Pelodiscus sinensis: one gene and its partner. The protein of the gene in region 1 purifies or fractionates together with the protein of each later gene. This does not show direct contact. Links are inferred from orthologs where the notes say so. Each region holds a gene or a part of one and is shown on either strand. Other genes may lie near its edges.

Region 1 (3,751 bases):
GGGGCCACGAGCCAGTGTGCTTTGGCCTCACTCCCGAAGAGACCCCTGTCACTTTACGCTGTTGCCTCTGTATGAGAGGTGGCAGCGTGGGATGCTAGGCAGGACCTGATCCATGAAGAGAGCCAATTTAAAAACCAGCTCTCCTCACGGACTGCCTGCCTGTCACCCCGCATTGCTGCCTCTGTTATAGAGGCAGCAGCACAGCAGCAGCACAGGGTGACAGCAGCTCCTGTGCCGTGGTGTGGGGGGGCAGGGAGAGAGTCTTAGCTTCCGGACCCAGTGCAAGCCAGAACTGAGCCGGGCTACCTGCCCACCCAGTTCCTAATACACTTTAAATGCAGAGCAGCAGTGGGGAAGGTCTCTAACCCAATGTGCGCCAGGACTGAGCCAGGCTGCTGGCCAACCTGCTAAAAAAATTTACTGGCCAGGTGAGGGAAGGGGGGGGGGGGGGAGAATGTGTGTAGTCTATAGCATTAACCAACAAGCTTTTGCTTATCGGTTAATCCACTATACTATTACATCTCTAGCCCAGAGTGCACTGCACCTACCCCAGACAGCACTGAGCACTGCCCAGAGTACTGTGTATGGGGGTCTGGCAGCAAGTTAAAGGATCCAGGGCTCCAGCCATCACAATAGTGGTAACAATGGTGGCCAGGAGTACCATGCCACGGAGCAGTTGCCCCCTTTGCCATCACCTTCTCCACCTCCACCCCCAGGTTCCCAGACATTGTCCATATAGGAAGGTAAATAATACCAGTACACACTTTTATACTCAAACACATGCATATCAGAGTTTTACTGGTATGACAATTTTGGTTAAGTACAGCTTTACCCCAACAGATAAAAGTTACAGTGACAATGGGGGGAAAAAAAGGTAGATCGGGCTTAATAGCAAAGGCACTTAACATCTACAATAGCATTTTTTTTCAGTGAAGCTTTTGCTGGTCGGGGGATGTGAAAAAACCTACAACCCTGATGGACACAAGTTTCACCGACAGAAGCACCAGTGTGGTCTGCACTACACTGGTGGAAGATGCTCTCCCGCCAACATTGTTGCCACTTGTTGGGCGTAGTGTTATTATGTCGAGAGCTCTCTCCTGTCAGTGTAGAGACACAGGAGACCTTAAAACACTGTAGCTGCAATGGTACAGCTGTGTAACTGTAAGGTCTGTTGTGTCAACAATGGACTCATTTCATGTTAGCCAATGAAAAATACCAGACAGTACCAATTTTCAGCAGTGACAGAGTTCAAAGGTTTCACATCACCATGAGCCCCAAATACATTTTTCTAGTTGTAACTGACAAAGTCATTACATATACAACTACAAATGTAATAAGACATCCAAATATATTTTACAATCATTACTCCACTGTTACATGCTCACAATAGCTTCCACTTTTTAAATATCTATTGCTATCACTAGTGTATTTGCATTTTACATGTAAGAAATACCTTTAGTCCCTTATGTTACCACACAGTACATAATTCTCTAAAGAGAATGAAGGCACGTGGTATAAAATATGGGCCTTAGTCTATAATCCTTAGTCATGTGATTTTTTTTCTCTTAACTAAGAATCCCATGAGCTCAACAGGACCACTCATGAGCTAGTTTCAAGACTGGACCCTGCATACCTGTACAACCACTTAAACACAGTCACCTTTCAGATGAAGGCAAGCAACATGACCTTGCACTCCAGAGCATGCTGAACAATGATAGTGGGAGGTGATTTTACTACAGGTGCAGCACAAGCGCCTATTCTTTTACATATGTATTACAGGATATTTAAGGACCTCTCTTCATCTGAGCACATCCTGATGGAATCTGTACATTCTCACTACATCTACATAGGGGAATTCAAAAGTTATTGTGCCACAGTCCCCACTCCACTTCTCCTCAGGCAGGACCAATGTACCTCAATTACTATAACAGGAGCACTGAGCCACTCACTGCAATGTGTTGATTTCACAATAGTAGCTAATTAAACCGTTTTTTGCTCGTAACTTTCATGTTCAATCAACATGCAAGAGGAAAACGCTCCAGAACTGTAAAGGCCTGGAATGGGGGCGGGGGGAAGAGGATCTATTCTAAAAATCTTCCCAGGGAAGGACTGAAGAGGGCAGGGGGGAAACGTTGATTGCCTGGGGGGAGGGGGTGCACGGGAGGACACAGAGCAAAGGGGCTGTGGAAACGGGAGGGGCGAATTGTTTTCAATGGGCGCTGGGTGAGTGGCTACACCCCACGTCTGTCCTGGTGAGGGAGAAAAATTAATGGGGCGGGGCAGGTTACAGAGCCTAATGGAAGAGAGACATCGTGCAAGACACCGCCACGGGCCCCAGCCCACAGGGCCCAGCCAGCACCGCGGGTCCGCCCCCCGGCCGCCAGCCCGCTCCCCCGCTAAGGTCACAGCGCCAAGGGGCCGCGCGGATCCCCCGCCCCGCCGGGCCCTCGCGTAGCCGGGCGGCCGCAGGAGGCTTCCCCCGGGCGGCGCGCTCCTACCTTCTGGGCTTTGCTCTGCTGCTGCAGCACGTTCTGCTCCACGGTCATGGCCCCGGCCCGGCGCCGCTGCCCGCCTCCCCCCGGCGCGGGGCAGCGGCTGCAGGCGGCGCGGGCAGCGGAGAGGCAGGGGCCGGGCCCGGAGCCGGGGAGGGCGCGGGGAGCGCGGGGAGGGAAAGAGCCGCTCAGGCCCGGCTGCTGCAGCTACCGCCCAGCCCGGCCCGGGCCCTGGAATGTGCCGCCAGCTCCGCCCTCGGCTGCCAGCCCGGCCCGCCCAGCACCGCAGCCAGCCCCCGGCCTGCTCGGCTCCCACCCCGCGCCAGGGCCCTGCTCCGCCCTCCTCTGCCTCCCCCGGCCGCCACCGCCCTCATCCCCCCCGCCCCTCTCCTCAGCCAGTAAGCAGCGGCACCGTCTTCCCTCCACCCCAACTCTCCACTACTACTGCCCTTCCTCCTTCCACACTCCTCTCCTCCTTCTTCACCAGTTACCACAGCAGCAACTTGCTCAACTATGGGCAAGGGTTGCTGGGCTCCCTCCCACTCGGGTCCCTCCTTCTCTTGATCCTCAGAAGCTGTTCCCATCTAACCGCTAGTGTTAATAGGTCTTATTCTACTGTCAGGGTGCCAGGAATCAGGACCTCATTCTCCTGGACACTGTACAAGCACAATATACTGTCCACCCTCCCCAAGCGAATGCCTCTCCTCCTCTAATCACTAGTGTTCTTACATTCCTCCTCCTCGGGCCCTGGCAGCGGTACCTCATCTGTCACAATTAGGGTTGCCAGATGGTTTCAACAAAAATACCAGACACACTTGACATTACATCACAATCTACATTACATCTTATTTAGAAAATACTGGACATTTATATTTTCTTATTTATATTTCCTCAATGTTTCCCAAACAGAAAGCTTAAATACTAGACTGTCTGGTTCAAAACGACACCTGGCAACCCTAGTCACAATCCCTAATTACATCCCTAGCCCATTCCTTTCCAATTCCTCCACCTACTTACTCTGTCCAAGAGAAGCAGCAGGACTTCTGCTCTCTCCCTTCGCTATCCAGTCACTAGTGTCAGGGTACGTCTACACATCATAGCTAAATCGGAAATAAGCTAGGCAGCTTGAGCTATGTCAATTGCGTAGCTTAAGTTGAAATAGCTTATTTCAGCTTTTGATGCTGTCTACACAGCAGTAAGTCTGAGAACGAGCACTCTTTCTCCAACTACCTTTAAACCTCATAAAGCGAGGGTTTCAG
Region 2 (3,751 bases), on another chromosome or scaffold:
TTGAGGTGCTATTGCTGACAAACACAAAGTAATGCATATTGGAAAATCTAATCTAACTATACATACAAAATGATGGGGTTTATATTCATTGTTACTACTCAAGAAAGATCTCAGAGTCATTGTAGCTAGAGCTCTGAAAGTATCGACTCAATGTTTAATGGTACTCACAAAAAGCTAATAATGTTAGAGCCATTAGGAAAGAGATAGATAATAAGACAAGCAATATCATAATGCCAGTATGTAAATCCATGACGCACCCACACCTTAAATACTGTGTGCAATTCTTTTTGCCCTAATAAAAATATATATATATATTATAATTGGTAATAGTACAGAGAAGGGCAAATAAAAATTATTAGAGATATAGAACAGCTTTCATATGAAAAGAGATTTAAAAGCCTGGGATTTTTCAGCTTGAAAAAGAAACAAGTAAAGGGGGATATAAAATGAATCAGTATTATTTACTCCTTCACATAATATAAGAATGAAAGGTCACACAATTACATTAATCATTTGGTTTTAAACAAACAAAAAGAAGTATTTCTTCACTCAACACAGTCAATCTGTGGAACTCGTTGCCAGGAGATGTTGTGAATAGGATATTAAAAACTGTGTAATAGGGTAACTCTATCACTGCTGAAAATCACAGCAGTTACAGAGTTACCTGCTGAAAACTCAGCAGTTACACGGTTACCTGAAATGCTAAGCCTTATATTGCAGAGCCCACATAGGAGCCTTCCTGGGAGAAATGGCCACCAGTCCCTATCAGCCCGGATCCTGGAGAGGAGGCTGTGTGTAACAGACACCATTAACCAATAAGCATCTGCTTATTGGTTAAACAGTTAGTCATTTACATTCTTACATCCCTTGTTGTGAATACTAAAATTATAAAAGCGTTCACAAAATAATTAGATATGTTTCAGGAGGAGAAGTTCATCAATGGCTATTAGCCATGATGAGCAGGGATATAACAATGTGCTCACATGACTGACTCTTTATGGATGCTTTGATGTTATTCCCCTGAAAAATGCTCAATTGAGCAAAACTCAAATTTCTGAAACCAAGGATATACACTTGGAACCTTAACTCTTGCTTCTTGAAGCAATGCCTCTGTAGCTCTTGTTAACACTCATACCTTTGTTCCTCCTGTGTCATACTTACTGAAATGCACAAGCTCTTCACCTTGTCTTACAACCAATTCACTCTTACCCACAGAATTCCATCCAACACTTTTAAAAAACAAAAAGGAAGGTGGGGGGTTGTCCATGTCACCTTCTAACTTGTCCCCTGGAAATGAGAGTAGGCAATGCGAGTTATTCACATATACTGTAAGTACAATCACTTGTCAGGCATTAGGTGCAAGTGAAGGCAGTAGTTGGGCCTTTTTGATAAAGCTGCGTTGTAATATGAGGACATTCGTAGATTATCCTGGGTATGGAACAGTTGTGATTATGATGTGAGGAGATCTGTTTTGCACCTTTCAGTGTTTGTGAGCAAAAAGAAGAGATGCTCGTGCCCCTTTAGAATCCATTATGCATCAGTTCAATGGCAAATTACATAGGTTATGTCAGTAGCAAGGCCTAGGGATTTTATTACCAGGATTATTGTCAACAGTGAGGTGGAATATGAGAGGATTTTAATGTTATAATGATGTCTTAATGAAAGCACAGGTTGAGAAGATGTCCTGTGATTAAGTGTAGGGATGTTGCAAAAAGCTGTGAAGACATTCTTAAATTGTACACACGTGATATTCTTAAATTCTATATGCATGATATTCTTTCTAGGGAGCTGATTAAGAATCTGTGTGAGATCTGGATCTGGAAGCTCCTCAATTTTAAGCCATGTCCACGCTACACAACTATATTGGTATAACTACGCAATTTGGGATGTAAAAAATCTACATCCCTGAGCAATGTAGTTATACCGACCTAATCCCTTATGTAAATGGTGCTGTCATAGCTATGTAACCACTATGTCTCCCATCAATGTAACTATAGCCTATCAGGGAGGGGGATTAACTAGACTGCTTCATCTACATAGCTGTAGTGCTGTATGTGAAGACAAGCCTTTCTAGTGCCAAAGGCTAGCATTACTTGTGTCTATGTGCATACTGACTGACACACTGCTTGAAGAGCGTAGAGGGAAGGTGGCATGGGCAGCCTCCCTTTCCCACTCCCTTTTTATCCTTTTGCAGTGTTAGATGGAACCCTATTGGTAAGAGTGAATGGGATGAAAATTAGTTGAAATATACATGCTCTTCACCAGCTTAAATACCGTCCACAATTTGGACCACCAAACACTAGATGCCATTCATTACAAAGAGTAAAAATTTACTGAGACCATTTTGACCCACATCACAGCAACAGTTTGACCTCCAGTTCTGCACATAAAAATCCTACAATCATAGAATTTTAAAAGTAGCTTTTTTCAGGGATTATACCTCCAGAATCCTTGGCTCAAAAGACCTCCAATTTGGGACACTGATCCTATTCCAGATTCCCACAAGGAACAGCAATGTAAGAATATAAGAGCAGCCATACGGGGTCAGACCAAAGGTCCATCTAGCCCAGTATCCTGTTTTCCAACAGCAGCCAATGCTAGATGCCCCAGAGGGAGTGAACAGAACAAGTAATCATCAAGTGATCCTTCCCCTGTCACCCATTTCCAGCCTGCGATAAACCCATCCTGGCTAATAAGTATTGATGGACCTATCCTCCATGAATTTTAAGAAAACATATGAAAAGGTGGCTCTTAAAGCACTTAGAAGTGTTGTCATTCAAACAAGACAGAGAGGGATGATGGAGAGAAAGCGCTCCTTTATACATCCCTCTGCAGCAGAGAAGGCTCTGAAAGGTGTGAATGAGACCAGTCCATAAAGATAAACAGGGCTCGACAAATAATGTAATCTACTCGCCCGTGGCGAGTAGATTACAACCCGGAAGAGCCGGCACAAAGCGATCTGCGCACCGCGCGGCTGGCGAGCCTTGGAGATAAACACAACCTGAACCAATAACTCAGACACAAAACCACCCACTTATCTCAGTGGTTGTCCATTCTCAGCTCCCAACACAAAAGACAACGATTTCCCCACATCCTGACTTACATGCAGGGGTAGGAAGGAGATCAGACTCTCCCAAAATTTCAGTTGCCCCCCCCCACCCTATGTGGCAGGGTATAAGGATGTTAAATATCAGTTAACTGAATAGTTGAGTAACCTCACAAATTCTTATCAGTTAGTTGACTATTCTATAGTCCCCAAAGTCGGAGCTGGAAGCCAGTGTGCTCCAGCCCCACTCTCGACGAGTCCTCTGCCACTCCATGCTGCTGCCTCTATATCAGAGGCAGCAGCACGGGGTGCCAGGCGGGAGCTGGTCCACAAGAGGAGCCAGTTTAAAAACCAGCTCCCCTCATGGGACCCAACATGAACTGGAACTGAGCCAGGCTGCTGGCCAGCCTGCTAAAAAATTTACTGGTGGCGGGGGAAGGGGGAGGAGAAAGACTGAAGGAAATGCATGTAGTTTATAGTATTAACCTATAAGCTTTTGCTTATTGCTTAATTGACTACACCAGAGTCCGCAGCCCGCTTATTTGCCGCACTCAGTGCAGTTTGGGTTTACGTGGGGTTCAACATACAGCCCATGGGTAGGTAGGAGCCAAAATAAAGAAGTAGTCAATATAATGGTCTTCTGTTGATATGTATTTTAGTAAAACTCCTGTCATTGCTCATTAAAAGTGCTGTCATGTGGGTGGA

Evidence for each region. The genes of interacting proteins can lie anywhere in the genome.
Region 2: the proteins of USP25 (region 1) and BTBD9 purify together in Homo sapiens (affinity purification with mass spectrometry; 3 studies listed by BioGRID and IntAct, counting the BioPlex papers as one, with this or other methods). This does not show direct contact. The link is inferred for Pelodiscus sinensis from reciprocal best matches to the Homo sapiens genes USP25 and BTBD9.

The regions. Positions count from the first base shown.
Region 1 is NC_134711.1:172,436,731-172,440,481, reverse strand, and holds the start of USP25 (ubiquitin carboxyl-terminal hydrolase 25), read right to left. Parts: upstream 2,771-3,751; 5' UTR 2,547-2,770; coding exon 2,499-2,546; intron 1-2,498. UniProt on the Homo sapiens protein: Deubiquitinating enzyme that hydrolyzes ubiquitin moieties conjugated to substrates and thus, functions in various biological processes including inflammation and immune response.
Region 2 is NC_134713.1:142,227,177-142,230,927, forward strand, and holds the start of BTBD9 (BTB/POZ domain-containing protein 9), read right to left. Parts: upstream 2,251-3,751; 5' UTR 1,268-2,250; coding exon 1,162-1,267; intron 1-1,161.